2 linked regions of the Schizosaccharomyces pombe genome follow. Changing the gene in region 1 together with any one later gene gives a genetic interaction. Each region holds a gene or a part of one and is shown in the gene's direction. Other genes may lie near its edges. The genes, in order: erf4 and erf2.

Region 1 (3,196 bases):
AGTAAATCTTTATCTTCAATTCAATTTCATAGTTTTGAGTAATAGTTCATCTCAATAACAAAGATTTATGCTATTGAAAATATACATATTACCCAATAGTATCGAAAGCTTTATCTTGCTCATTTATTCATTTAATGAGACTTGAGAAAATCAGGCTTGGCAAAAGAATCGGCGATTTCTTGAGTGGAGGCGGTATCCCAGAAAATAGAATCAGCAGCCAATTCTTGCTTCAAATCATCGAGACGAAGATTAGGATCATGTTTTTGCTGAGGAAGCTCATTTCTATCAGTTTGATCCTTGTGGTAAGAAGGGAAAAGTTGTTGGTCAAATTTGTAACCAGTTTGAACAGCTGCTAAAGTTAGTAAAAACTGCTTTCATCTAAACAGGAAAAAAGGTAGAAAGGAAGTAGTTTCTATAAAAACAGTTTTCCATTAAAAGTATAAACATGAAGAAAGAGTGCTTTATAGAAATTTTTGATTAAGGTATTAATAAACAAATCCACTCATTTTTTTTTTTTAAATTTGATTCACGTACCTTTGCGACTAAATGATTGTTAGTTATTATACAAAAAGACTAAAAAAGAGTTAAATCATCAAATGCCGTGCTGCAGTACAATTGTATTATAAGTTTTCAAAAAAGTACTTAGACCTTTAAGCCCTGTCTCTTACAAAAAAAGATAGCAGAACAATCAGCATTTTGGATAATTCAACGTTTAAAAGTAAAAAATTGGATTAAACTTACACTCTGGCTCCAACATCAAAAAGAGTAGTTTGAACTAGCTGGGGAAGTTCGTCATGATCGGGAAGCTTGAACGTTTCAGACATCCTGGATAAGTAAAACAATTAAAAAGTATCAAACAGGGGGAAATTGACAAAGTATAGTTAAATATAGGTAAAGACGGAGTGGTGAATCACAAATGCTAGCAATTACCAATCGCAGAGCAATCTTTTAATTTTCAATGATTAGGTGGTAGATGGTAAGTAGTTTGGGGTTGCGATTGTAGATCATACGAATTTTCTGTGACTCGAGACAGGTAACACTTTTTCTATTGTTTACCTATGGAAAAAAAAAACAAAACAGTGTAATGCGATACATATTTCCTTTAAACAGTTATGTTATGGGTATCATGAGAAACTAAATTTTCATCTTCGTAAAGGAGGGTTCTTTTTTAATCGTCTTTCTTGGAATTTCTTCAAATCATGAATTCAACTTGCATAAATGGATAAGAAAAGTTGGTTGTAAGAATCTATAGATATATATTTAGCATGTTTCTTTTATTTAAACGAATATTCCTTTTAGAAGCGAGTAAGCTTCAAGTCGTATAGAACGCAGACGATATTAAGCCTAATAGGATCTTTAACGCTTAACTTAATAGCAAGCACAATGAGTTTTAGATAGCTGAGTACTTTAAAGCAACCTAACTTCCCTTGCAGCTAAAAAAGTTTATTGAACTTGATTTAAGACGCTCTTCTTGGACTGAGCAAGGACTTCAAAAAAGCCCGCATTCGTTGTCAAAGTTTTATCTCATCTAACGACTAAAGTAATATGAGTCAATGCTCATATAATATACAGTCGAATATTTTTTATATTTTATTACATTTATTTTCCCAAGTAGTTTTTCCAGTTCATTCTAAGTAACTTTTATCGTAGATGAAATATATCCTGTAGAGAGCTTTTATCCTCTTCCTGAACGAGCAATACGTTTTATTAATTTTCAATTCCTCAACAACTAAAACCACATCCTTTTATCAATCTTAATTTTCACTATAAATCCGTTCAAATTACCTAGTGACAAACTGTGTGGTTTTTGTTTCAAATCTGAAACTCACTCAATTAATCATAATGATTTTTTAAAATGAGTTATCATTGCCCATTTTACAGCTATTCACTCAATTAATCACTCAATTCTGACATTTAATACGTTTGTTTGTTTAGTTCCGGTTATATGATCAATCGATGAACTCATGAGTGTTTTATAATTTTTTAGTCATTTTTAACGTTGTTTAACTTATAACTTTCCTGTTTATTTATTTTTTTTCTTGTGCTCTACCGAATCCCAGTTTCATTATACATATTCTCTAATCCGTCTTCTAATATTGTACACTTGAACCTAGAGCTAGGGAATCCACCAAGCTTCATTTCAGTAGGTTTTTTCGATGCTTGTTCGCATTGAAAGGGATTATTCGGTTTCAGGAGATAAATATCCTCAATTTCCAACCGATTATCCTGTACCTCTTCGAGCTTATGTGAATCTTGAGGATTGGGATGTATTCATTCACACATTAAACGAGAAACTGAGAGAAGCCTTCTGTCCATGGTCAATTGGAAATCTATTAGATGGAATTCTATCTGTTTTAACGATTTATATCTCGGAGTTCGTATTTGGCAGTATTCATCGTAAAAGAATTGGGGCGATCGATTTGTACATCCTGGACTTTGCAACCCAACATAATTTATACGTTGCCAGCCTTCGCAATATGGGGTTTTTGAGTCTCGTTTTTCATACAAAAGAAACAAATTCGAAAAGTAGTACTCTCCATTCCAATCCGTACTGCCCGGAGCACCATTCTATACGAACACTTCCCTCTGCCGTGACTGCCACCACTTCAAATATCTCAACTTCTAGTTCTCACAGAAGTGATCTGCCAAACGAATGGACGAATTCGACCCTTTAGACGCTGTGCAACAAATTCATGTTCAAGCAAGACACCCGTAAGTCTCAATTTGCTATACAAATAAGCTGGCAGAATCAAAAGACTTAGAAAATGATTGCTACCTTTATAAACGCACAAGCAATTAATGCAAATTGTAAGAAAAAACGATGGATAGCTGCTATTAAATTTTCATGAAAAATTTTTAGCCTAATCGCCATTTGTTGGATTTCGTACTGATATATATTTTTGCTGATTTTTACTTGTTTTTCCTTTTTGCCTTGCTTTTCTTTTATTTGTATGTCATCGAATGGAAAATTTGGCTAACACTAATTTCAAGAAAGAATCGGTTGCTGTCAATTGCACACGATGCCAAGTTTGTCGACTCAGTTATAGCTTCGTACCCCACATTTAAACCTGTTGTAAATGAACGATGCGGTACGTGGTATGTCAACCGACGACATGCTCCGATTTCTGTTTATTTCAAAAGTACTGATGGTCATACCGGGCAATGGTCTTTTAGCTGTCGTCGTCTCAATTTGCAT
Region 2 (4,481 bases), on another chromosome or scaffold:
AGTATAATGTTTCATTAACTGCGCTGATTTCTAATTTTCTACTAATTTTTAACATACCAAGCATATAACCAGCAACTCCAAAGGTATAAGTCATGACACACCAAGTTATCTAACAGCAAACTGATCAGCTTACGAAATAATCAACTCAATATATTTTTCAAAAAAAAATTGAGCTTACAAATAGTTCTGGATATTCTCTTGACCAGCGAACCAGGCGGTTCGACATAATTGAGCGCATAATTGACATGATGGTTCCAAAAATAAAAAGTTCTTGTTCGCTTGAATAGTTTGATTAATTGTTTCGAGATGGAAAGGATCTAAAATCCTTTTATGATTGTAAATGTCAAAATGAAATACGTAGGCGAACATTCGCAACATTTATGACAAGCATCAATATTTATGGGGATCGCCACCTGACGCAGACAAGACGTAGCAACGGTGCGCATTAAGAGATTCAAATTTGAATGGATAATAATATCATAATAATCACCAACTCCTTCTACTAAAGTGGTGAAAGAAGCAACTTTCCAATATTTCTAGATTTTCCAGCGTTTGCAATCGGGATCGAACCGCCCTTGTATTTATATTGCTTTATACAGTTTTATAATACTTTTCAGATACTACCTCTACCCTTGTATTATACTATAGAATTTGTTAGGACACTTATTTACTAAACTTTTCCTAAGATTATATTTGTAAATAATAAGAAGAGAACACTAAAAAACTTCGCAAACAAATAAAAATGGTTCGTACCATTATAAATAAATATAGTCATTTTTCAAAATTTAGCTGCCATGAGGTTAGTAACTTAATAGTAGTTGCTGACCGCAAATGTTTCTCCAGTAAAGTAGGTCCAATGTACAAGTACGTTTAAAAGCGTCATTGAGATTTTCTAAGGAATAAGAATTTAATTCATTTCCCTTTAAAACAGGAAATAAAACCAAAGGACCGCTTGGAGTCATGCATATTGAGGAATAACAATCTAATTCGATAATCTTGTGAACTACATTTCCACTAAATACAGTGAATGAAGCCAGGATGGTTTTTCTTAGATGTAGATTAGTAATAATTTTTCTTCAAAATTTCATCCATAACTGACCATATACCGTGTTTCTTGAGTTATTTGTTTACAAGCCATAGAGGTTATTGGGTTATTTCGGGGCTAGTGAAAGTATAGAGATGATCCTTTAAATTAGCCCTTTCATTAATAGCTTCGCGATAATCATAATTTCAATAGTTGCAACACTCTAATAAACTTTTAAGATCTTTTTTCGTTGCTTCCGTACCTTCATTTCTAATATTTTCTCAATTACACCCTCCCATTATTTTCCTGCTAGTTATTTAGCCATTTTAAAAAAAAAAAAAAAAAAAAAAAACATAATACACAAGATGAAAATGGTTTACTAGCTAGTCTACTTCCCATGATATTGGTCTTTTATCTTAGTCTTTGGAGTCTTTATCGAGTCATATATTACTAATTTTTCCATATATTATCCACTTTCTTTACAAACCCGAAATTGCACGGATAGTATAATTTATTAAACTTGATTTTTCTAACTTTGAGCCCTGAATTGTTGTACTGACAGGATGTTCCAATTACAGTATCGATGAAATATATTTAAATAAAAAGTTTGAAAAATATAAATACTAATATATTGGCACTCTTAAATAATTTTTTTTACATTTTATTCGTAAAAAAAAAATAAGTACTTTATTTATTATTATTAATTTTATTTCTTCGGTTAGTATTTTTTTTTTTAGCATTTCATTTCATATTCTGTTTTTATTTCCCTTCTCTTTTTAATACACTCTCATCGATTAAATAGGCGCCATTCCAAATATTAGTTATTAGAGTCACATTCTCTAATTGTTTATTTATTTTGATTTCTTTATTTGCTTAGTAAACAAACTTTGGCGGATGCTAATATTTACTTCACCCTCCATCGCAAAAGGGGTTCATATCCTTACCGACAACAAAACTACAAGATATAATACCAGGTGTAAAAATAGCTGTTTCTTTGCCATGTTTGTTGTTTAGAGAATATAATCATGAGCTATGAGAAACACAGTGATGCTAAGGCATCCCGCTACGCGTGGAATCAGCCATGGAATCCATTTGAGGTGACTTTGTCTGATCCAACGTATCCCATGAATTTGGAAGAAAAGAACCAAATTCCTTATAGATTTCAATCCGTTCCTGATGATGTTCCGGAAGTACCGCATATTGAAAGCCGATATAAGAATTTACCAGGAAACAATATCTATTTATGTTGTGGTCGATTGCAAATGTCATCTCAGTACAAAGCTTTCCTCATTAGCTTGTTTGCCTTGATTCTTCCAGGAGTCCTTTTCTTCATCTTTTCTGCTTTTTGGCTCTGGCATCATGTCTCTCCCGCTGTCCCTATTACCTTTGCTTACCTGTATGCCTTAGCCGTTGTTTCCATGTTCAAGTGCTCGACTGCTGATCCAGGAATTCTTCCTAGAAATGCATATTCTTTAACTTATAACCCTGCCCATCCCTGGTCTGTAATTCCTGAAGACCGTAAAGTCCTTGTTGGATCCACTCGGTCTGACTCTGTCTTTGTTAATACAGTTTATTGCCATACGTGCCACTTATATCGTCCTCCACGTGCAAGCCATTGTCATTTATGTGATAATTGTGTTGAATACCTTGATCATCACTGCATTTGGTTAAACACTTGCATTGGTCGTCGAAACTACAGATATTATTTTATTTTTTTGTTATCTGTCGTTCTTTCAGCTTTGTATCTAACTGGATTGGGGTTCTATACTTCTATAGGAAGTTTTCATGAATCCACAGATACAAATTTTGCGGCGCATCTTCGTCGTCCATGGGCTGGCGTATCTTTCTTCCTTGGCATTTATGGGGCACTTGGAGCAATACTTCCTGGCATCCTTTTCTGTTACCAGTGCTATTTAATATCTGTTGGTCAGAATGTTCATGAATACTTACGAGCAAAGAGTACAGAAACTGAAGATGTACATCCTTTTCATGACAGCATATGGCTCAATTTTCTGGTTGTCCTTTGTCGTCCTAAAAATGTGAGTTACGTTCGTCCCACTAGGAAGTCTTACGTGTAATATGCCTTGGCTTCACAAAGAAAATAAGAAATAAAAATTTTTTATTTGCTAGACAATAATGCTCAAATCGCTCACGCATATATGCTACACTCTTTCATCTTCCCCTTACCAATTTACTTTTCAGTACCGAAATTAATTTGGTTTTAATAACCGGAATAAAAAAGATTACTCCCCTCTTCAAAATTTTTACCTGGATAATGTTTTGTTCTTTTTTTTCATCCTTGTCGTCGACCCCTTCAGCTCGCCCTTTGTACTTTACAGAGAACAATGTACAGAAACAAATGTTTATAAAACTATTCCTTGTTCTCACCAATCTCTGGAATTATTAATATTTAATTTGGCTGCTCTCTTTTATTTTTAAAGTAATGCTGCTTGTTTTTATGACTTATATGATAGATAGATGGTTTTACCTCCTTTAGCTAAACCCCTTTCCAGTCTAATTTATTGGGATTTGCTCTTTATTGTTCTTTTTTATTATTATGATTGCCTTTTAGGCAAATCAATGTTCCATAGGTAGATAGTTTTTCTTTTTTTAATGAAATAGCTTATCCACATTTAGAGGATAGTTTTCTGGAAAATAATTTGGTATTAGACTTCTTTAATTTGATACTTGAAACTTCTATAATATTAGAACTAGCTTTGCATTACTGACCGGCTTGTTCATTCTTACTCTGGTTCATGTTGCTCCGTTCCCAGGCTTGTGTTTTCCATTCACCCTCTACAACCATTCGGAAAGCTGGTTACTGTAGTTAGGCTATAAAACTAATGACAAACGGCTCTTAAACCTAATGTCTTCTTTACACGAGCATTTACGCCCCATTCCTGAGCCTTTTTCTTTAACTTTGCTACTGGGAACAAGAGAAACACCTGTCACATTTCTGTTCCATTATTATTTATACCATGCGTTGAAAGCAAAGGAAAGTACTTGTTTTTTAACATTCAGTAAAACCTTAGATGAGCATGCAATTAGTATGCGTAAATGGGTATGTAAAAAGAGGGATTACGATTGCATAAGTGGTTGAATGATAAACTATTCGTATGACTAACCTACTGAACCAATATTAGGGAATGGATATTAAAACGAAAAAAAATTTCTTCTTTATCGATGGCTTCAGCATGCTATTTGCTCCTATTTCCAAGCCTTCGAAGGTACAAGCACCAGAAACCAAAAATCACATCAAATCTGTTTTCGCGCCTGTGATCCAATGTGTGGAGGAAAACGATTTTGAATTTGAAAACTCCACGATCATCATAGAAGATATTGATATTTTACAAAGTACTCATGCTCTCGATTCCACAAAGATTCAGCAGGCAATTTTGGAATTACGAAAATGTTTCAGTAGAGTCATTGTAAACGTGACTTTGGGAGCTCCGTTACC

Evidence for each region.
Region 2: of erf4 (region 1) and erf2, changing one enhances a phenotype caused by changing the other (phenotypic enhancement), as found in Schizosaccharomyces pombe (one study listed by BioGRID).

The regions. Positions count from the first base shown.
Region 1 is NC_003424.3:2,828,145-2,831,340, reverse strand, and holds erf4 (palmitoyltransferase complex subunit Erf4), read left to right. Parts: upstream 1-2,156; coding exon 2,157-2,675; downstream 2,676-3,196. Other genes in the region: spd2 (ribonucleotide reductase (RNR) inhibitor family), read right to left, coding at 132-349, 535-542, 742-824; rit1 (initiator methionine tRNA 2'-O-ribosyl phosphate transferase), read left to right, coding at 2,654-2,712, 2,992-3,196. UniProt on the Schizosaccharomyces pombe protein: The erf2-erf4 complex is a palmitoyltransferase with a major role in driving sexual development. Palmitoylates ras1. Palmitoylates isp3. Palmitoylates rho3.
Region 2 is NC_003423.3:1,865,018-1,869,498, reverse strand, and holds erf2 (palmitoyltransferase Erf2), read left to right. Parts: upstream 1-1,966; 5' UTR 1,967-2,049; coding exon 2,050-3,102; 3' UTR 3,103-3,678; downstream 3,679-4,481. Other genes in the region: SPOM_SPBC3H7.08C (uncharacterized protein), read right to left, coding at 58-109, 179-247; elongator complex subunit Elp6, read left to right, coding at 3,891-4,085, 4,168-4,481. UniProt on the Schizosaccharomyces pombe protein: The erf2-erf4 complex is a palmitoyltransferase with a major role in driving sexual development. Palmitoylates ras1. Palmitoylates isp3. Palmitoylates rho3.